Linked DNA regions of Drosophila melanogaster. The protein of the gene in region 1 interacts with the protein of each later gene in a pairwise test. Each region holds a gene or a part of one and is shown in the gene's direction. Other genes may lie near its edges.

Region 1 (5,843 bases):
GAGGGCTAGGCCGAGCAGGGGGAGCAACCAGCAACCTGTAAGTATCCAAATCGACCGTGGATGAGGTGTGCTCGTTTTCATAAATTTATGTAATTGCAGTGTACTGATGAGTCACCTCCACAAACGGTGTTCACTATATCTCTCCGGTTGGCCGTTTCGCCGGGGATTCACTAGCTTGATTATCGGAAAGGGTAATTAACTGCCTGCTCCGACTGCTGGTACTGTTTTTCACCAGCGGCTTCGAGTGTGTAAATTAATTTCTTTTTATAAACCGGCTATCGCCCTCGACTTTTATAATGTGGCCTTTGAGCAACAACTGAATTCTCTCAGCGAGCGTACATTGTTTTTATACTCGCATATGCATATGTATTCCCCCACAAAACAATGATTTCTCTTCAGTTCGTGCTCCCAAACGGGTTTTTCTCTCGCCTGCCTTCGGTGTTCTCATTGATTTCACTCTTTACATCCATAATGCGTTTTCTTTCACTGGCTTTTTAAAGTCAAACTGCCGGATAACTCACCACATGGCACCAAACGATAATCCATACTCAGTAATTTTGCTTACAGTAAACCTAGTCTGCAAAGCGTACGTAATAGACTGGCCTGACTTCAGGTCCACACGATTTACTGCGACCTTATCAGCCAAAGCTCAGCTTGAGCTTGTTATTGTCTTCGACAATAATGGGATTTTTTCCGTTCCCTGATAACAGAGGAAAGCTGAAACTGAAATCATTCCCTACCTAAATTTGTTTATTATATTTTGCCAAAAATTCTAGGGAGAAGTCAATAGAATGAGTCAATAGAATCGAATAACACCCTTTATATACCTTCAAAGGCAGATTTATGTTATAATAATAAATAATAATAATAATAATAAATAATAGATAATTCCTACACGTTTAATGTGTCAAATGTTTAATAAGTAACTTAAGTGGAAGTACAATTTATTTCTCAACTATTTCCCACGCCAAAGATATACATATTTATTTTTCCTTTAGGTACATGTGTTACATTTTTCAGACTGCTCAACCTTGGTTGTGATAAAATGACCGGCAAATAGAAGGCCATGGGTGTTGTCCTTTATAGCATAGAAGAAAGGTCTATTAGCGTGGAATACCTTTGGAGGTCCTTGGCGCGCAGGCATGCTTCTAAATGTGGCAACCGCAGCTGAACAAGAAGTTTAAATTAGTTAATGCGAATATATACATATTTGAGTGAAATTTTTAATATTGGACTTGCTTAGCACCTCGTATGACATTCGTAAGAATATCCGGAGTACTAGATATAAGAGGCTTTCAAATTGCCAAAAGTTTTGGAACCTTTTTTTTTTGCAGGCTCACCCGTTGCGGCTGCAGCTTCAGTGCCCACTTCGTTAATCTCGATAAATGCTTTGTGGACGATCTGGGAGACAAAAAGGCTTTCCTCGGATTGTAGCATTCCCCCAAGCTCTGCCTGACCACTGAATATTCGGTTCATGCCCATCTGTGAGTAGCCAGGTTGCGTATAATCAAATTTCAATAACAAATCCATTTCAGCTAACCAGCATTAAAACCTGGGATAGTTCTTGCTGGAACTCGGCTGTAAAGCTAGGAATCTTCACATCCACTTTTTCCAGATTCATTGCTGATGACACTACCTCTAGGGAAATATCACTAAGTTTCTTTTCGAGGCTCGTGAGATTCGACTTCTCATCAGGAAGTAAAATGATCATGGCCAAATTACAGGCACTATAATTCATTCTAAGGGCAGTGGCTTCGAACATGGGAAGTACGGCAAAAAAGAAGTTCTCGCACACATGCATCATTCTCACTCTGGTAGGTCTATCCGATCCGAAGAAATCCTCTTCGCGGGTTTCTTTTTCATTGAAACTGATTGACCACTCACCCTTGAAGTGAATACCGTTTACTAGGCACAGCCGCGAGTCCTTGGTAAGAACTCTTGGACCGATTATGTCCTTGATCAGGTTGTTGGTCTGTGACTCCACCCATTTGTTGATTATGCTGGCAGCCTGCTCGCTGCCAAAGTCAATCTCCATTGGCTTGGAGCGAAACTTCTGCTCTAGTATGTGACCAAACTGCTCGTCAACTTGGAGACCCTTCATAACATATAGGCCGTTTGCCATTTTAAGAACCTGGCACTGTTCATAGGACTTGAGGACGACACCAAAGCTTTCAGCTACTTGCTGAGCTTCTAGCCCACCGAAACGGAGCCCCTCGTCCATCTCCTTAGCTGTAGCCGATCCCTCGGATGTTCCCATCCGCAGCATGGCCGCAGAGATGTGGATGGATAATGGGGAGTAGATGATGTTTAGGCCAGCACTTGCCCGGCACAAATGGTCGTGCAGACAAAGAGCGAATTGTTCCAAGCCCTGTGCGAACTCCTCATCTTTCATGATGAAGAAAGCAGACGATCTCAGGTTAAATATGTTAAATATGCGTCTACGATAGAAGAATCAGTGAGTACTCATTTTTCGAAAGAGATTCAGATTGACTTATCAGCAGTTTGAGCAAATATTTTAATAAGAAGCTAGATGAGCTATCAACACCATTCCAATTTCGGGTACGCCAGGAACTTCTCTCCGTCGAGAGCGCTTGCCACTTCAGACTCTCTTGGAATTTATCTAATCGAGTTGCAGTTCGTTCAGTTCTGACTTACTGCGATTCGCGGCGTTAGTCAATTCCGCGCAGTTTGACGGAAACCACGCTCATTCTCCGGCTGCCTTCCGATTGTATCCGTGAGATTGTTTTTTCCGGTGTAAGTTATCAGCGCACCCATAGGGTCAGCGACGCCCTCACCTGTTTCGCCGATCCAAAATAGCTTATCAGTGCACGTAGAGAAATTTATTGTTTCATGTCCACATTGATCGATGATTTGTAAATTAAAGAAATTCCGAAACTTACTTAGTAGGCTAAGTTACGGTAATCTAAATATGCAGTAATCCCCTCTATGCAGTAGAGGGTATTGTTAAATTTTAAATATCTGAAAACATCAACAACCTTATCAGGTGACGTGTGTTATTTTATCTTTGAATTACTATCGCGTCGTTTGCTATAAGGCAATTTGTTATGACGAAAGCAAGTTCTAGTTGACTTCACTTTACTTTCTACATCGGTTCTATTAAAAATATAATAGGGAATTATTATTATTATTTTAAAATAAATAGTAGCACCTAGTAGCAGTTGTAAGCTAATACGTCATTCTGGGATTTCGGATTTATTTTTAATTAGCATAGGCAATTTTGAAAATGTTTTATTTTATTAAAGATTGAATCCGAATTCGAAATTGTTCTGGATTGATCAAGTTGGCGCTTAACAGCTGGCGATAATGCCAAATGAGATAATGAGATTTGGCCCGAAAATGTCTTATTTTTGTATACTTATGTTACATTTAAGTATTTAAAAATATAAATTAAAACATATATTTTTTTGCCCAGATCGAGATGAGCGAACCCCAAGAAGGCAGAAATCAGTTTGCGCGAAATCTGATAGATGTCATTACCAAAGATGCCCTGCAACAGAGCAAAGACCCCCACATAAATACGGTTTTCTCTCCAGCATCCGTCCAAAGTGCATTGACCTTGGCATTTATGGGGGCTTCCGGATCTACAGCAGAGGAGCTAAGGAATGGGCTTCAGCTAGGACCAGGAGATCGCCATCACATAGCCCTAAACTTCGGAGAGTTCTGGCGCACGAGCTGTAACTACGGCGACAGGGGACCCGTGTTGAAGTCCGTGAACCGATTGTACGTCAACGATTCCTTGGAACTGCTTACCGAGTTCAACGAGATCGCCGTGGACTTCTTCCAGTCGAAGGCCGAGGCGACGAGGTTCGCCGATTCGGAGGGAGCTACGCAGCTGATCAACGACTGGGTGGAACAGGAGACGGAGCATAAGATCACCAACCTGCTTCAATCGGATGCCGTGAACAACGAAACGAGCGCCCTGCTCATCAATGTCTTGTACTTTAAGGGAAAGTGGCAGAAACCATTTATGCCAGAGACCACATCGATTGACCATTTCCACGTGGACCGGGACACTCACGTGCAGGTGAATATGATGTACCAAGAGGACAAGTTCCGGTTCGCAGAACTGCCACAGCTGAAGGCTCGAGCTGTGCAACTGCCCTATGATTACTCAAACATTCACATGCTAATTCTGCTGCCCAACGAAGTAAACGGTCTGCAGGAGTTAGAGCAGCAACTCAACACCGTGGATCTAGCCGATATTGACGCAGCGCTGACCTTGCAGGATGTCGAGATCTTTCTGCCCAGGATGTGCATAGAGTACGACGTGGACCTCAAGCAGGTACTTAATCAGGTAAGATACATTTAACCGATAATAGTGGCTTTGTTTTAATAACAATGTAATATCTGATATTTATTCTCAGCTGGGTATTACGGAAGTCTTCAGCGATAAGGCCAAGCTAGACGGGCTCTTTACCTCGCAAAGTGGCCAAAAAATCTCGGCAGCAAGGCACCGCGGCTACATCGACGTAAATGAGGCAGGATCGGAGGCAGCAGCAGTCAGTTGTAAGTGAAATCAGCTGCTTGCAACTCAAACTTGCTCGTACTAATCTCAACTCTGATTCCCACACTCAGTCATGAAGATAGTACCCATGATGCTCAACATGAACAAGAAGCTCTTCAAGGCGGATCACCCGTTCGTCTTTTACATACGAAACCCGCAGGCCGTCTTCTTCGCCGGCCGATTCTCGAACCCCAAGTCTGGATCTGGATCAGGAGAGGAGGGCTTGTCACGGGAAGGTTTCGATGCCAACATGTACAATGTCTAAGAACAGCAGTGAGACCGAATAGAACTCAGCTATGAAATCCCACTAGACGTCATTGGATTTCAATCCGAGAGAGCTGTGTGCGCAGTTCTCAGTAACGTAATGAAGTATCGCCAGTAGGTACATATATGTCCAGTGCATATATGAGCTCGTCTTGGCACTCGGCGCTCAGTTTACAGAGATACTTATCTCGGGGAAGAGTTCGTTGTAGACGGTCAAATGTATTACTTGTGTAAGTGGCGATCGCTTATAGCCAGTGAATTAAAATACAAAGCAATAAATTACCTATAATAACTTATGATTTAAATTAAATTCATAGAAAATAATAAAACAATATGGTGAAGACGTTTGCTATGGCATTAACTTTTAACTTACAAAGACTATCCGCTTTCGTTGAATTCGATTTGCTTTAGTCTGTAAAAGTAAAAAATATCAAGTTTAATATGCATGAACAGAATTTCCGAACGCTGAAAACGAATTGATAATTAACATCCCCAAACTAGGCATTTTCCTGTGGGTCACTTCAGTGGCATGTCAGACCTCCAAAGAGATCTACCAACTACTTTCCAAGAGCCATACAAACCAGAACCTCGTCGTCTCGCCCGTCTCCATAGAGACCATCCTTAGCATGGTCTTCATGGGCGCAGAAGGCTCGACGGCCAAGGAGCTGCAGAGCGCCTTAGGTTTACCATCGGAGGACAAAGAGGCGGTGGCAGCCAGGTACGGTGCTCTCCTCAACGATCTTCAGGGACAGGAGGAGGGACCCATACTAAAGCTCGCGAATCGCATCTACGTCAACGACCAGTACAGCCTGAATCAGAACTACAACCTCGCTGTGAGGGAACCCTTCAAGTCCGAGGCGGAGTCCATTAGTCTGACCAATGGCCCTGTGGCGGCCGAGAGAATCAACCAGTGGGTGCTGGATCAGACCAGTGGTAAAATCAAGGGCATGATCGATCCCGGCAGCATGACGTCCGACGTGAAGGCCTTGCTGGTGAACGCCATCTACTTTAAGGGCCAGTGGGAGTCGAAGTTTGACCCAGCTAAGACCAGAGC
Region 2 (5,452 bases), 2.5 Mb from region 1:
AGAGCTGCGCAAAAAATATATGAAAGCAATAAGTATTATGTAAACTAGTTTTAAGCTTTGGATACGGAAAGATAATTAAAATATTTCTAAGATGGCCGTTAAATATGTTAATTTATAATTTTTGGCGAGAATTTACAATTGTTCGCTGAATATTTTTATGAAAATAAAATAGAATTAAGAATATGGTTTTGTTATTTGTAGTAAAAAGGTGATAACGAGTTTTGGATTTCAAATGTTATGGAGTTATTGAAATAAAAATAAAATATGGTGGAAACCTTTTACTTTTTATAAATGACGTTCATTTTGAAATTGAAAAAAAAGAAAAGAAAACGATTTTTTTTTTAAATATCCGGTTTGGTATATCTGGTATTATTTATGGTTCGCGAGGTATATCGGTATATTTTAGTGGTCGATCTACGGTCACGCTGAAATATTTGTACACAATAAAAACCGGCTCGTTTTTTCGCTGAAAAAGGTAATAAACTAAAGTTAATGAACGCAAACGAAACAATCGGTGAAGTTAATCGACAAATGAGATGCATAATCCCGCGTTGCATTTTGGTGGATACAGAAATAGGCCAGAAATCGCGATTTCCACACCGCACCCATGACGTGTCACTCGCCCACTTCGTTTCTAATCAATTAGTTTGTTTTTATCCATAGAACGTGTTACTGTCTGCAAAATGATCACCGACGTGCAATTGGCCATTTTCTCCAACGTTCTGGGCGTATTTCTGTTCCTGCTGGTGGTTGCCTATCATTATATTAATGCCAATACCGGAAAGTAAGTAATCCCACTTGGTGAAGAAGAGGAAGAAGACAGCCCGGAATCAACAATAAAACCGATTTTCATTTATTTACAGGCCCAGTGCCAAGGCAAAATGATGTAGGATGTTTCCGCTAACAGACTAATATAGTTCTACCAGGATAATGATAATGCTGCTTCATTCGCAAAATAAATATGTAGTTGTACAAATCTAATCCAGGATGTCGTTAATGGCCTCCTTCATGGCCTGGACATCGTCCAGTGTTTTGCCAGATCTCTGATCTTTGCCTGTGTAGAAACTCCTCTGCGTTTGATGTCCAAAGCTGAAGGCCTTGACGTAGGGCAAACTTTTAGTTTCCTCTATCACCTCGTCCACCTCCATGGAATTGGGTTTGCTTTTGCCTTGATGCTTCTGTTTGCCCCTATTCTTGCTATGATCAAAGCGATAGTTTGCCGGAAGCTTGTGCGTTATGATGCAGTGATCCTTGCGCTGCCGGGCAGTATGAAACTTGATGGTGCACTCTTCCAGAAAGCAGGAAAACATGGGCTTGTCACCGCGCTCCACGCTGGCGGCAAAATAGCAATCGTGCTGTTCGGTGATGTGCAGATCCAGTAGATGGGCAGTGGGCAGCATTTTTCGGCATTCTACGCAGCTGTAGCTCTGCTCCTTATCTATGTTGTCCCTGATCCTAGCTGCCGCCGCATCCTGCTCGCCCAAGATGTCATCGATGTCCACGAGAACGCCGAGTTTCTTGAAGGGCGCCAAACTGGGTGCAGGCGGATCCGTGGGCTTTATGAATCCCGCTGGCACTTCGCTTAGTATCCTGATGATTTGCTCTCTGGAGAGAAGTGCTACTCCCGCAGCTTCCGAATCCATTTTGTTTGTGTTGCCAAAATGTTTTGTTTTGGTTCCTACGCCAGTTTCAACATGTTTCCACTGTACTGCCTCTTGGAAGATGTGATTTTGTTTAATTTATATAAAAATTAAAAATAATTTCCTTTTGAATTGAAATAGTAATACAATTTTTGAAGTGCATACGTAAAATAGACATAATTAATGAATTGAAATACTCGCTCATATTTTAGATGGATATATTTCTATATTAAACAACTGCAATTAAGTTGAAACATCTTAAATGCCTTTGAAATGATGCCACATCGCCAGACTTAGTTACGCGGGCTGGCATCGCCGTGCAGCACATGTGAACCTAAACTGGTTCCGCCCGAGAACCGGTTCTTTTTGGAATACGAAGCTGACACCGCGTGGTGTTTTTGCTTTCGATTCCGCATTTATTTTCCTTTCGACGCGTGGAAAATAAACAAATCCTGCCAAGATGAGTCTGTACAACTTCAAAAAGATCATGGTGGTTCCGCCAGCAAAGGTAAGGTGTACCCAGCAGCGCCCGTCCCGCGGAGCACCCCTTGAAGCAAAGACATAACCTCACTGGAGGTGTTTACCAATATGCGCAATATGTAAATAATATTTTATTTTTTGCCCTTTCCACAGGACTTCATCGACATTATGCTGTCGAAGACACAGCGCAAGACCCCGACGGTGGTCCACAAGGGCTACAAAATATCCAGAATCCGGGCATTCTACACGCGCAAGGTGAAGTACACGCAGCAGAACTTCCACGATCGCTTGTCGCAGATCATTCAGGACTTTCCCAAACTGGACGACGTGCATCCTTTCTACGCCGACTTGATGAACGTGCTGTACGACAAGGATCATTACAAGCTGGCGCTGGGTCAACTCAACACAGCCAGGCATTTGGTGGACAAGTGAGTGCCAAAGTCACAGATCCCCAAACGAACAAGGTTCGATTAACTATTCTATTTTTTATCCCGCAGTGTGGCCAAGGACTACGTGCGCCTGCTGAAGTACGGTGACTCGCTGTATCGCTGCAAACAGTTGAAGAAAGCTGCCCTGGGTCGCATGGCCACCATTATGAAGCGACAGGCCTCCAATCTGACGTATCTGGAGCAAGTGCGTCAGCATCTCTCGCGTCTGCCCACCATCGATCCCTATTCGCGTACCATCATCATCTGCGGTTTCCCCAACGTGGGCAAGTCCTCGTTCATCAACAAGATCACCCGCGCCGATGTGGAAGTGCAGCCCTACGCCTTCACCACGAAATCCCTGTACGTGGGACACACAGACTACAAATATCTGCGCTGGCAGGTCATTGACACACCCGGCATCCTGGATCATCCCCTGGAAGAGCGCAATGTGATCGAAATGCAAGCCATTACTGCCTTGGCTCATTTGCGCGCCTGCGTCCTGTACTTCATGGATATCTCCGAGCAGTGCGGACACTCCTTGGAGGAACAGGTCAAGCTGTTCGAGAGCATCAAGCCTTTGTTTACAAACAAACCCCTCATCCTGGCCATCAACAAGATCGATATTCTAACACCAGAGGATCTGCCAGAGGAGCGACGAGCGATTATCACCAAACTACAGGAGGACAAGAACATTCCCGTAATGCTCATGTCCACCGTACAGGAAACCGGTGTCATGGAGGTGAAAACCGAGGCATGTGAGCGTTTGCTCTCGTACCGTGTTGACCAGAAGATGCGCACAAAGAAGGTGGACAACATCCTGAACCGCTTGCATGTGGCGATGCCAGCGCCGCGAGATGACAAACTTCGTGCACCCTGCATCCCAGAAAAGGCCTCGGCGCGCCTGCTACAGAATGCCGACAAGGCAGAGCGCAAGCGCAAGCTGGAGAAGGAGATCGAGGAGGAGATGGGCGACGACTACACGCTGGACCTCAAGAAGAACTACAGCGAAATCCCCGAGGAGGAGCGCTACGACATTATTCCAGAGTTCTGGCAGGGTCACAACATTGCCGACTACATCGATGCCGACATCTTCGACAAGCTGGAGGAGCTGGAGCGCGAGGAGGGACTGCGGGAGGAGAGCGGCGTCTACAAGGTGCCCGATATGACCATGGACGAGACGCTCAAGGAGATCCGCGAGATAGCCAAGCAAATCCGTGGCAAGCGCTTCGAGCTGCGCGACGAAAAGCGACTGTCGTCGCGAAAGAACAAGCCAGTCATCCCACGAAACAAGCAGCCCAAGGTGCGTGACCGTTCCGTACAGAAACTGGTGTCGACGATGGAGGGCCTCGGTGTGGACATGTCCGGCAGCGAGAACGCCAACTTCACCAAGTCCGTGGTGGATCTGCGTCGTGGCCAGGTGGCAGTTGGCTCCAAGAAGGTGCCCATGCAGCCGCTGCTCGACAAGGAGTCCTCTGCGGTGGTCAGGAAGACTGGTCAGCCTCTGAAGCGGGCGCCGTCGCGCGACACACTGGGCATCAAGAACTTGGCCATTCGCAAGAAGGCGCAAATTATGGCCAAGCGGGATATTGCCAAGAAGGTCACAAGCAGGGGTCTCAAGGGCGAGGCGGATCGCTTCATCGGCACCAAGATGCCGAAGCATTTGTTCTCCGGCAAGCGTGGAAATGGCAAGACGGATCGCCGTTAAGCGCCGCAGCCTTGGCTGGTTAAGTGATTCTACCTGGTGGGCTCGCCTGCTCCTCTGTATAAACTAAGCGTCTATCTTTATCCCTGAAAAACATTTTCAATACAATATTGTATTTTTACAAACAAATTGTTTATTTTTCGGGGACCACACATCACACACTCAGTAAACTTTGGTGGAATTTTTGTATCATAAAAAGCAAAGAGCCTTGACTTCTGGAAAAGTTTATATAAAGAGAGAGACCTGAAAAGCATGTGCATTACTATTGTCTTTAGCACAAACAAAGTTTACCCCCATGGATATTTGCTCGTTTCTTACTTCACCTTGGCAACGTGGAAGTTTGTTTGGTTTTTACCAATTTTCTTGTCCAATGAGTAAAAGTTGTTCGGCACAGCAACATCATGTCCAAAGCCACCACAATTAAGGAGGCTCTGAAGCGCTGGGAGGAGCGGGAGCAGCAAAATTCCCTGACTGCCAAGGTTATTGATCTGCAATTCCAGTGGCCACCCATCGAGAAAATGGACAGCACATTGGGTACGCTGGTGCAGTGCGAGTGAGCTTAAAAGTTCTTAGTTCTTCGAGGAAAATGAACTCCTACTTTTCTGTTTCCCCTGCAGGAGAATCAGTATGTCCACGAATATGATTGAGAAGATATTCGGCTTATCGGGCATGAAGTGCCTCAAGGTATTGTCCTTATCACGGAACTACATTAAGCAGATATCCGGGCTGGTAAGGACGAATTAGATAGGTTCCATTAGCACATCATTTGCTTCTCTTATGTAGGAAGCGGTGGCTGAAACTCTGGAGGAGCTGTGGCTCAGCTACAACCTAATCGAGAAAATTAAGGGTTTGACTGGTCTGAAATGCCTGAAGGTGCTCTATATAAGCAACAATTTGATCAAGGACTGGTCGGAATTCAATCGCCTGGCCGAGATCGAATCTCTCGAAGATCTAGTGGTGGTAGGAAATCCCCTATCCGAGGGATTGGACGAGCCCACTTGGCGGGCGGAGTGCATCAAGAGGCTGCCCACCATCCGCAAACTGGACGGAGAACCAGTCGTGCTCAACGAGGAGCCGCAGCTTTAAGTCTGATGGCCATTCGGTTTATATGGATGACGGAGAGATTGGGTTTTCCATGCGAACTTTCATAGCAGAAAACAAAAAAAAAAATCTTGAAAAATACACAACATGTACTATTTTAG
Region 3 (5,487 bases), on another chromosome or scaffold:
CCTCCACCAGCCTACTTCGCGCCCACCCACGCTGTGAATCCCCACAAATCTGACTCAGATTCAGATTTAGATAGCGATTCAGATTCAGATACAGATTCAGACAAAGATCAAAGTCCAAGAATCTCCAGCACCTACCTGCAAGCGCCACTGCAATTAGACGCATATTATCCACAAATCAATATTAATCACCAAATCAGCAAAGTAAGCACCGCTTTTCGTTTGTTCGAGCCACACACGCCAAACATAAAGCCAATCAAAACCCATAGAATGCACATACGAGCGCTTTTGTTTTGACCGCCAAACGTTGCACGCCTATCGCCGCCAAATAATCGATATTCGATTGGTAGCGCTTCGAAGGGGTGTAGCTAGCCATGCAATGCGGTTTCCTCCTCGTGAGGTCTAATTATTGAGTATTTACCATTATTTAAGTTGCATTATTTTGATTTTTCTTGAATTTTAAATGCATTGCAAAATTATCGCAAAGTCCACGATAGTTTCGATAGGTTTTTGCTTATCAGAAGGCCAACAAAGTTCGGTTTAACCAGCAGAACCAGGCATATAATATATAATATCCAACTCTTTTATTTGTAAGTGCTTGATTACAGTTTATATGTGGGCTTAAAAATAGAATACTAAACCTAAATGTAAATTAGAAAAATGTGGTACCTTTTTGTTGCTTAAGCTTTCTGATTTTGTAAATGGAAATAATCTTCTATATTGTTATAGTATATAATGTGTTTTAACTAAAGAATTAAGTAGTAGAAGTGAAAGATTTTATATTTCATTAATTCTGTTCAATAATGCCACCTATGCTGATTTCAACTAGGGATTACTTAAAAATATTAAACTACTACTCAAGTTGGACATGCTATGCGATTTTATTTGGCCTAATGGACTTTGGTGTAGATAATGTGTTTTTTAAGTATTGCTCTTGATTATAAGCGTTTTCATGGTTAAATGCTTTTAAACAATTCGTTTAATTTGCAACTGAACTTTAAAATTAAAAATAAATTTACAATTCCACTAGTCAAACACTGGATTTTTCACTTGATCTTATACCTTAGCTTAATAGCATGCAATTTTACGACTAATTTTTGATGGAATCCACTTTAATTTGGAATACATTTCTGCGGCAATAACAAGTTTAAAATAGGCGTCTAGGGCAATTTTCTCTGTATTTCGCACTTTTCGCAGAGTGGCGTCGAACCAAGAAGGCTGTTCGAGTAATGTTTGAATGAAAAACGTGAATGTACTCTTCGCTTGTGTTGGTGTCCACGAATGGAGAACGTGTGTGTATGGGTATGACGTGACGTCACATCATAGGAAGATAATTACTGTAAAAATTGTGTGTTAAGGCATAAAAACAAAATATTAAAAAAGAAAATGCATACTCTTTTAATTATAGTCAATATGATGCAAATTATTTTTGAAATCGAAACAATTTGTGGAACTGAAATCATTTACGAGAATATAAAAATATTTCCTAATTGAAGTTAGCTTGCTGTTAAGTTTCGTTACTAAACTTTAGCTAATTAAAAATACCGCACGGCTTACGATGTTTAAATTAAATACCGAAAAGATTGTGAAAAGCGCGCGAAGGTGAATTTCGTGGTACGGACCCTATATCTGTGCTCCTCTAACGCAAGCGTCGCTTACGGGCGACCCAAACGAGCAGCATCGTGCCGTTGCCTCGCACACTTCACCTCGGGATCCAATCAGATGTTCAGTGCCAACTCGAACGAACGCGTCGAACCAAAGTGACAGCGCTGTGTGTTCGACGTCGGATGTCGTGGGCTCTATAAAGTTTACTCTCCCCACAAGTCAGTGAATGCGGTTGAAATCAGTCGTAAAATACAACAAAGGCAGCGCAGCAGTCTCGCAAATTAAATGTAATTAAGTGCATTTAAGTTTTATACCTACGTGCTTCGATTCCCAATTTTCCTGTCAACAAAGCGCCGAAAACCCCGTGCTACCCAAAATCGCGGCTGTTCTCGCTCCTCTTGTTTTAGGGAATTTCGCGTGTGCTGTCATCGGAATATTCATTGTGTTGCTGCGCGTGTGTTTGTGCGGAGAGCGTGGTAGAAGCTCCACCACATTTGTTATGTCAATAATTAGCAGCCCCAAAAACGAAGCCAGAAATGCGTTGAGGTTGAGGCGTTGATCAAATGGGAAGCACTCCCGGCTTGCCCCGCTTTTCCCGCTCTGTAAATCGCCAAAAAAACTGCGCTTGGCCATCACGTGGAGAATTGATTTTTTGCCAAAAAACGCGACGACTTCATGTGTTCTTTCTTTCCTTTTGTTGGGAAATCCAATGGGAGAGCGGGCTCTGTTTTCCAGTCCAATTGGATTATGCCCGGCCGGGCTTTGTCCAATTGCCAGATTCTTGTTGGCGCTGCTGTCTCCTCTTTTTGAATTACATTAAATATTTAAAGCATATGCAAATTTGAACAGTGGCCCCGTAAAAGGAATAAAGGACCTTTACCTGGCCGCGTCCTCAACGTGCATCCCCCCTCCCCCCCGTGGTTCTTGTTCTTCTTCCTCGGCTCCTCCTGTATCTGTAGTTGTTGTGGTTGTTTTAGTTGCTGCTGTGAACCAGATGACACGCCTTCGGTTTCCCAGTTCCCTGTTTGGTCTGCCAGAGATGAGAGCGAACTAATCTCTTTCCAAATATATTATATTTAAAACCCCTTTCTATTTAAGACAGTTTATTCTTAAATATCAAAATAACCATATGTTATATATTTTAACTGGTAGTTTGATTGCGAATCTTGTTCTTTTCAGTTTATATTTTAAGTAAATACAAATCAAGGCATCTGAACCAACCAATGCCACCCGTCTTCTCTGGAATCTAATTTCAATTCTTTTAACAAAAATTCTGAAGAATGCCTGCCAAATCCCGATATGGTAACAACTTAGCTTCGCCCGGGGCTCATCTCTATTTGGCGGCCTTTCTTCGGGCTTCCAGCGCCTTTAGTGTCGTGCAAATCGTTTTTGTGGTAAGGGGTAACCCTTCTTTTTTCGGGGGTCTGTGGGCCTGGGCCTTTTCTTTTTGCACTTCCTCGTTTTTAGTGTTTTACTGCTTACCCAAATGCCGACACCCGAAATCACTCACACTCGTCGTGGTTTTCCTTTGCAGCAGCTGTGGCTTCCATCTCCGTGCTCCCATTTTCCACGCCTTCTCCGTTTTCCCCGATTCAAATGCATTTCGATTGCTTCGTTATGTGAGTGCACTCAACTTGGGAGCTGCGTGTGTGTGAGTGAGTGTGTGTGTGTGTGGAGGAAGAGGGATTCGTAAACAGTGTTTTCCTTGATGCCATGTGTCTGTAATGCAACGGTTGTCTATCCTGCGCCGTCTCGTGTCTTTTCCTAGCTGCTGTTTCCATTTCGCACGAACGCTTTCCCGGCCCAACAGTTCCATGTCCTTGTCACCCCTCAAAAGCCGCCCAAACACCCAACCACCCAACTGCCCCTTGCCCCGCCCCCTTTTGGCCCACTTGGGCGACACGTGCTCATTATGCCGCTTCAAATTTTACTCCACTTTCCGACTGTCGCTGCCGTGCGACTCCTTCTGCGGATGTTCCTTGAAACAACAGTTTGCTTAAGCTATACGATCCAAAATCAAAAGGGTGAATTTTTTAAGCCTACATTTAGCTACATTTATCCTTGATCAACAGGATATAGGCATGTCCATCTGTTGTCCGTCCGTAAGTTCGTCCGTTTCAACGCAATCAAGTCTCTCCCTCTTAAAACTACAATATCTTAATGAAACTTTACCAAAAATTGTTTAAAAATAAAAAGAAAAAATCAAAAATGAATTGGATTAAAATCGGACGAATATAACATATAGCTGCTATAGGAAGAGTGGGAATATTAATTGAAAATATTAGAAAATAAATCATATCTTCGTTGTTTTTCACCATAAATACTTCTCTACTTTTGGCTTAAATTATTAACTTACATAAATACACATTTTGTTTAATGTACAAAATGCCAGCCAAATCAACCAGCCATTTGGAGCAATACAATCAAAGCACGCTATTATGGCCCGTGACCAAATGTTGGAAGGGTCACCTCTACTACCTCTGGCTCATTGATAACCATAACAATCTTGTTTGCTGTTTGCACTTGGCAATTAAAAACTTGTTGATTGTGGGCGCTCCAGTGCTCGTACTCTGGGTGGTGGTACTCTAGTGGCAACTACCCACAATATGGGATGATTCCACACAGCCAAACTGCAGCAGCCGCCCAAGCACTAATATTTGATTTATGTGAGCTAGTCCATGGTCTGTGGAGCCATAAAAGGTTGTTTAGGGAGATGAGATGATCGCCCTTGGGGCTGACTGGTCAGTAAAGACCACTAAGACCACTTCCATTTAGTTGCTTATTAACGCTTGGATACTTACAACCGTGTATGATTAATAGCACTTGTTCGCCAAAGACTTGCACACTTATTTATTTTGATTTTTCAACCCTTTTCTGTACTTAAAATAGCTTAACTACTTAGAATAGATATATATATATATTTAAGTTCTCTTTCGTAAACTGCTATGTGCTTTAGTATAAGTATTGTATGATGATACCTGTCCAATACCATGGTACAATATCTAACCAATAATTCTCTATATATATCTCTCTCTCTTTTGTTTTGCAGTTGCTGATAACGTATACAAGTGGCAATAACAGAATAAATTAAGCCGGAAAAAAGGTCGAAAGGCCAAAAGTGAAATCCAATCCGGTGTGAAAACCAGTGCAAAAGTCAACAACTTGTGGGAGTCGAGCGTTCGTCCTCGAGTCCTTGAATCCTGCCAGTGTGCTCAGTGCTTTAAGTGTGCCAAGTGTGCGTCTGCGTGTGCGTGAGCGTGAGCCTGTGAGTGCGTCCGGGTAGCGGAGAAGCCACAACGTCGTCCACAAAACCATCGACGTCCACAGCCGCCGCCGCCGCTGCTGCTGCTGCCGCCGCTGCAGGTTCGGGATCGGGACAAGGTTCGGGAGCGGGTGCGGTATCAGGAACTGCTCCAGGCCACCAGAGGAGCGGCGGACGAAGCGGCCAGCGACGTCGCAGTAGCAGCGGTAATCCACACGCCGGCACAACGAAAGCGACCAGTGGCAGCGGTGGAGCTGGCAGCGCCGGCGGAGGAGGAGGCGGCGGCGGCGGCAGCGGTGGAGGCGGGGTCAAGCAGAGCGTCAGCCGGAACAGCAACATCCGGAGCAGCAGCTCCAACAGCACCATGGCCTCTGCCAACCATCGCGGTGGCGGCGGACGCGGTGGAGGTGGCGCTGTCGCCGGTGCCGGAGCGGATGGCAATGCAATCGTGGGCCTGCAGATCGGCTCCGCCTGGTTTCAGCGCAAGATCAACCTGAGGCCGCAGCACCGCGGCGTCCACCTGGTCACCGAGGAGATACTCCGACAGATGCCGGAGCTGGCGCACTTCTCAGTGGGATTATGTCACATGCAAAGTGAGTGATTTCAATGATTTTCTATTACCT
Region 4 (4,040 bases), on another chromosome or scaffold:
AAAAAGTTCGCCATGCATAAATTTCGGCCAGGCGACAAAAACAGCCGCGGAACCGCAGGCGCGTTTTACGAGCGTTTTTTCCCGCCTGCCAACCTCAAGATGCGCACAAAAACAAAAAAAAATATGTATATCTGCAACGCGGCCAGGCCAACGGCTGTGGATTCATGGCCATGAATTGACCCAAACTGAAAATGGTTAGCACGTTTTTTGGCAGGGGTTAGTCATGGCCAACAATCGGGTTAAAGGCGGCGCGGTTAGGGTAAGGGTTAAGGGGTTCTACGGGTGAAGAACAGACATTGCCGCTTACGCTTTGCGATGCAGCCCCAGGCAACCAGCAGAGTTTTCACAGCTACACAGAAAGAAAAAAAACAGAAATCAAAAAGAAAAAATCAAATATGTAAAGTACACTCTGAAAAGAATATAAAACAGAGGGTGACAAGTGAAAGTGGAAGAGTGCTTTTGAAAAACTAAAACTTTACAGTGAAAAAAAAAACGCTCTTTAGAAACAGAAATCATTAATGATAATATTTAAATTTTCATTTGTTAAAAAGGTTAAATTTAACTACTTTTTTTAACCAATTGAAATAATATAATTCAAAACAACTTCTTAAGAAACTGACAAATGTACTTTAATCATATCACATATCTAAGTTTCGGGTTTCCCTCTTTCCTTACAAGAAATTATCTAGCTCAAAACTAGAAGCTTAGGAAAATGCATGAAATGCCCAAGTGGATGCAGTTGCTCCTCTTACAAAAGCTGCCTTACCATTCTGTGTGGTGCTGCCTTGGAAGAGGTTCCGCAGATACGTGATCAGCCGCCGGTGGAGCGGTCGATGCCGATGGCGCGATGATTTCCTATGCGAGGAGGAGGACTCCTGACCGCCACCGCCCTGCTCCACATCTTCCACGTCCAGGGTGGAGACAATCGCTGCCCCCGAGCCCGCTGCACCCGAACCCGGACCACTGGCCACCAGCTCCTTGCCGCACTGACTGGCGTCCACAATAATCTCGATGCTGCGTTGCGTGCTGGACTTTTTAATGCCCAATGCCGCCGTGGAGCAACTGCTGCCGGAGGGACCACCACCGCCACCGCCGGAGTTAATGGTGCTGATGAGGGCATCTGTGACACTGGATCCGGTGCCAGCGATGCTGCTCACCGTCTGGTGATGCATCTGCTGCTGCTGCTGGTGCTGCTGGACCGCTCGACCTGTGAGCAGGTGATGCTGGGCGCTCGAGGGCAGCTCGTTGACGGTGCCATTGCTGTGGCTTCCACGATAGATGAGCTCCGTTTCGTTGCTCACCTGGCGCAGGGCATGCAGTCCGGTGTGCGATGCACTGCTTGACATTCCGGCGGAGGATCCACCACCTGCGCCGCCGCCTCCAGCTCCTCCTCCTCCTCCGCCGCCGCCGCTGCCGGAACCACCATTTAGACCCGTGTAGTAGGCGCTATTCGGTCGCTGGCTGTGCTGCACCTGTGGCCCGGCCATAATGTTTCTCTCAGTGTATGTTATGTACTGCTGGAGCGGCTAGAGTTCCACCTCCTTCTGCTGCTCCTGTTCCTGCTCCCGATCCTCTCTAGCGGCTGGCTTTAATTGTCGCTGGCTGGTTTTAGTGGTTTTAGTAGCATATTGGACAGTTACATGGTTACGGCGGTCACTTTGTTAGGCAGATTGGGGTTAAGCGGTGCCGCATCTGCGAGAAGCGAGTAAAATCGAGCAGAATATATATGTTAGTTCCGATACTAAGGCATTTAGGTCTCTAAACCGATCAATTTCTTTAATTTAATTTCATTTGGGAATTAATTAGTTTCCCAAAAACAGTACAAACAAACTGTACCAAATGCTTTCGAAGCTGGGTACTTTATCGTGTTCCCATATTATTTTCTAATTATCTTAATTTGATCGGAATAGAGTAAATAACAAAGAAAACTATTTCCAGGAATTTCCATTTATTCCATTTGCCAGCAGCGTTGCATTGTTAGTATGCGTGCATGCGTATGTGTGTGCGTGTGTGTGCGTATGTGAATTATAAAGCTGTTGTAAGCGCACTTGTTAGCCCATTTTAATCCTATTTACTAAATGATACACTAAACTAGACAATTGCCTTCTCAGTAAATTGCGGCTAACTAAGTTGCCAATGCACATCGATTGAGATGCTAACGCACATTGTAACCTATTAAATTTATGCAAAATATTACAACTAAATTAAACATTTGTTATCCCAAGTAAGTAGGCCTCGCAATGAAACTCGCATAGATAAAACCATCCGTGTGGTTGACTTTTGTTCAGTATTGGGGCAAACCTTACACCGAACAGTTCGGAAAACTAGCCAAAAAAAAAAAAATTCAAAATTTTTCCGTGTGAATAACTCCGTGTTTTTCCACATTTTCTACCTTTGCCGTTTAAACGTTGCTGCGCTCACCATCACCATGAAAACCCTCGAGTCCGACGACAAACCCTTCAATCCCTTCTACATTGGCCCACATCCCAGCAAGGCGTGTGCCATTCCCGAGATTCCCGGCCAGCAATGCTCACCCAACTGTCAGCCAACTACTACGACCACCAATGGTTCTCCAACGGATGCAACGGATCCCAACAGTTTGCCCAGCGGAGCTGCGGGCGGCATGGTAATCGTGGCCAACATATATAGCACCGTCGAGGTCCTGGCCGCCGCCGCTCGTATGGGCGGAGCAGCGGGCACTGGAGGGGATCAGGGTGCGTCGTCTTCCAACAACACCACATGCAAGCCGTATCCCTGCATGGAGGGCGCTCGCATCGATGGTCCTGGCTGTGGTTAGAACCAGAGGAAGTTCACATTGGATCAGAAAGCTTTATCTACCAACTGGCTATTTGAATAGGCTAACTCGCAACACCAAGCTAGCCCCAAATACAAAAATAAAAGGCCCAGAAAAATAATCCATTCGTATTTTTTCTATAGTCTGTCGAAAAATGATCAGTCTTTTTCCTACAGCAATGTAAATAGTTGTCCAAATATGGAATGCCATACCTCGTTGAACTCGTCATAAAATTGTCTTTCGAATGGCATTCACAGTTAAAAATGTAATTTTTTTTCAATTTTTCGCAAAAAATGATGATGTTACCCCTTATAAAAAATCTGAAAATTTGAAAAAAATCAATTTTTTCAAATTAACAAAACGGTTACAGAAATCGTTTATTTGGATCATTAGCTGTATAAAACAGTAATTTTTTTGAATAAGTGACCATTTTTGGCCAAGTTATAGCAAACTGAATTCTTCGAAAAAATCATCATTTTGCCAAAATGAAACACCAATTTTTCAACAAAATATAATCATTATTTTGTTCATAGCAATAAAGTTATTTATCCAAACATGGAATGCCATACCTCGTTGAACTCGTCATAAAATTGTCTTTCGAATGGCATTCACAGTTAAAAATGTAATTTTTTTTCAATTTTTCGCAAAAAATGATGATGTTACCCCTTATAAAAAATCTGAAAATTTGAAAAAAATCAATTTTTTCAAATTAACAAAACGGTTACAGAAATCGTTTATTTGGATCATTAGCTGTATAAAACAGTAATTTTTTTGAATAAGTGACCATTTTTGGCCAAGTTATAGCAAACTGAATTCTTCGAAAAAATCATCATTTTGCCAAAATGAAACACCAATTTTTCAACAAAATATAATCATTATTTTGTTCATAGCAATAAAGTTATTTATCCAAACATGGAATGCCATACCTCGTTGAACTCGTCATAAAATTGCCTTTCGAATGGCATTCACAGTTAAAAATGTAATTTTTTGTCAATTTTTCGCAAAAAATGATGATGTTACCCCTTATAAAAAATCTGAAAATTTGAAAAAAATCAATTTTTTCAAATTAACAAAACGGTTACAGAAATCGTTTATTTGGATCATTAGCTGTATAAAACAGTAATTTTTTTGAATAAGTGACCATTTTTGGCCAAGTTATAGCAAACTGAATTCTTCGAAAAAATCATCATTTTGCCAAAATGAAACACCAATTTTTCAACAAAATATAATCATTATTTTGTTCATA

Evidence for each region.
Region 2: the proteins of Spn42Dc (region 1) and Non1 interact in a two-hybrid assay, tested with the Drosophila melanogaster proteins (one large-scale study listed by BioGRID).
Region 3: the proteins of Spn42Dc (region 1) and CG31688 interact in a two-hybrid assay, tested with the Drosophila melanogaster proteins (one large-scale study listed by BioGRID).
Region 4: the proteins of Spn42Dc (region 1) and CG15198 interact in a two-hybrid assay, tested with the Drosophila melanogaster proteins (one large-scale study listed by BioGRID).

The regions. Positions count from the first base shown.
Region 1 is NT_033778.4:6,878,324-6,884,166, forward strand, and holds Spn42Dc (serpin 42Dc), read left to right. Parts: upstream 1-2,671; 5' UTR 2,672-2,754; intron 2,755-3,324; exon of another isoform or gene 3,325-3,433; 5' UTR 3,434-3,439; coding exon 3,440-4,315; intron 4,316-4,385; coding exon 4,386-4,527; intron 4,528-4,596; coding exon 4,597-4,790; 3' UTR 4,791-5,006; coding exon of another isoform or gene 5,007-5,019; 3' UTR 5,020-5,084; downstream 5,085-5,843. Other genes in the region: Spn42Da (serpin 42Da), read right to left, coding at 1-35, 522-546; Spn42Db (serpin 42Db), read right to left, coding at 995-1,167, 1,341-1,482, 1,541-2,392; Spn42Dd (serpin 42Dd), read left to right, coding at 5,007-5,019, 5,291-5,843.
Region 2 is NT_033778.4:9,395,280-9,400,731, reverse strand, and holds Non1 (putative nucleolar protein 1), read left to right. Parts: upstream 1-1,997; 5' UTR 1,998-2,100; coding exon 2,101-2,148; intron 2,149-2,273; coding exon 2,274-2,548; intron 2,549-2,617; coding exon 2,618-4,253; 3' UTR 4,254-4,467; downstream 4,468-5,452. Other genes in the region: CG33774 (uncharacterized protein), read left to right, coding at 684-784, 864-885; l(2)k10201 (lethal (2) k10201), read right to left, coding at 978-1,643; ODA-Dnal1 (outer dynein arm dynein axonemal light chain 1), read left to right, coding at 4,652-4,803, 4,868-4,979, 5,034-5,336. UniProt on the Drosophila melanogaster protein: Involved in the biogenesis of the 60S ribosomal subunit. Required for normal assembly of the mitotic spindle. May be involved in both centrosome-dependent and centrosome-independent spindle assembly programs.
Region 3 is NT_033779.5:20,427,273-20,432,759, forward strand, and holds the start of CG31688 (uncharacterized protein), read left to right. Parts: upstream 1-1,752; 5' UTR 1,753-1,889; intron 1,890-4,651; 5' UTR 4,652-5,228; coding exon 5,229-5,457; intron 5,458-5,487.
Region 4 is NC_004354.4:11,245,981-11,250,020, forward strand, and holds CG15198 (uncharacterized protein), read left to right. Parts: upstream 1-2,255; 5' UTR 2,256-2,428; coding exon 2,429-2,797; 3' UTR 2,798-2,905; downstream 2,906-4,040. Other genes in the region: CG44422 (uncharacterized protein), read right to left, coding at 767-1,487.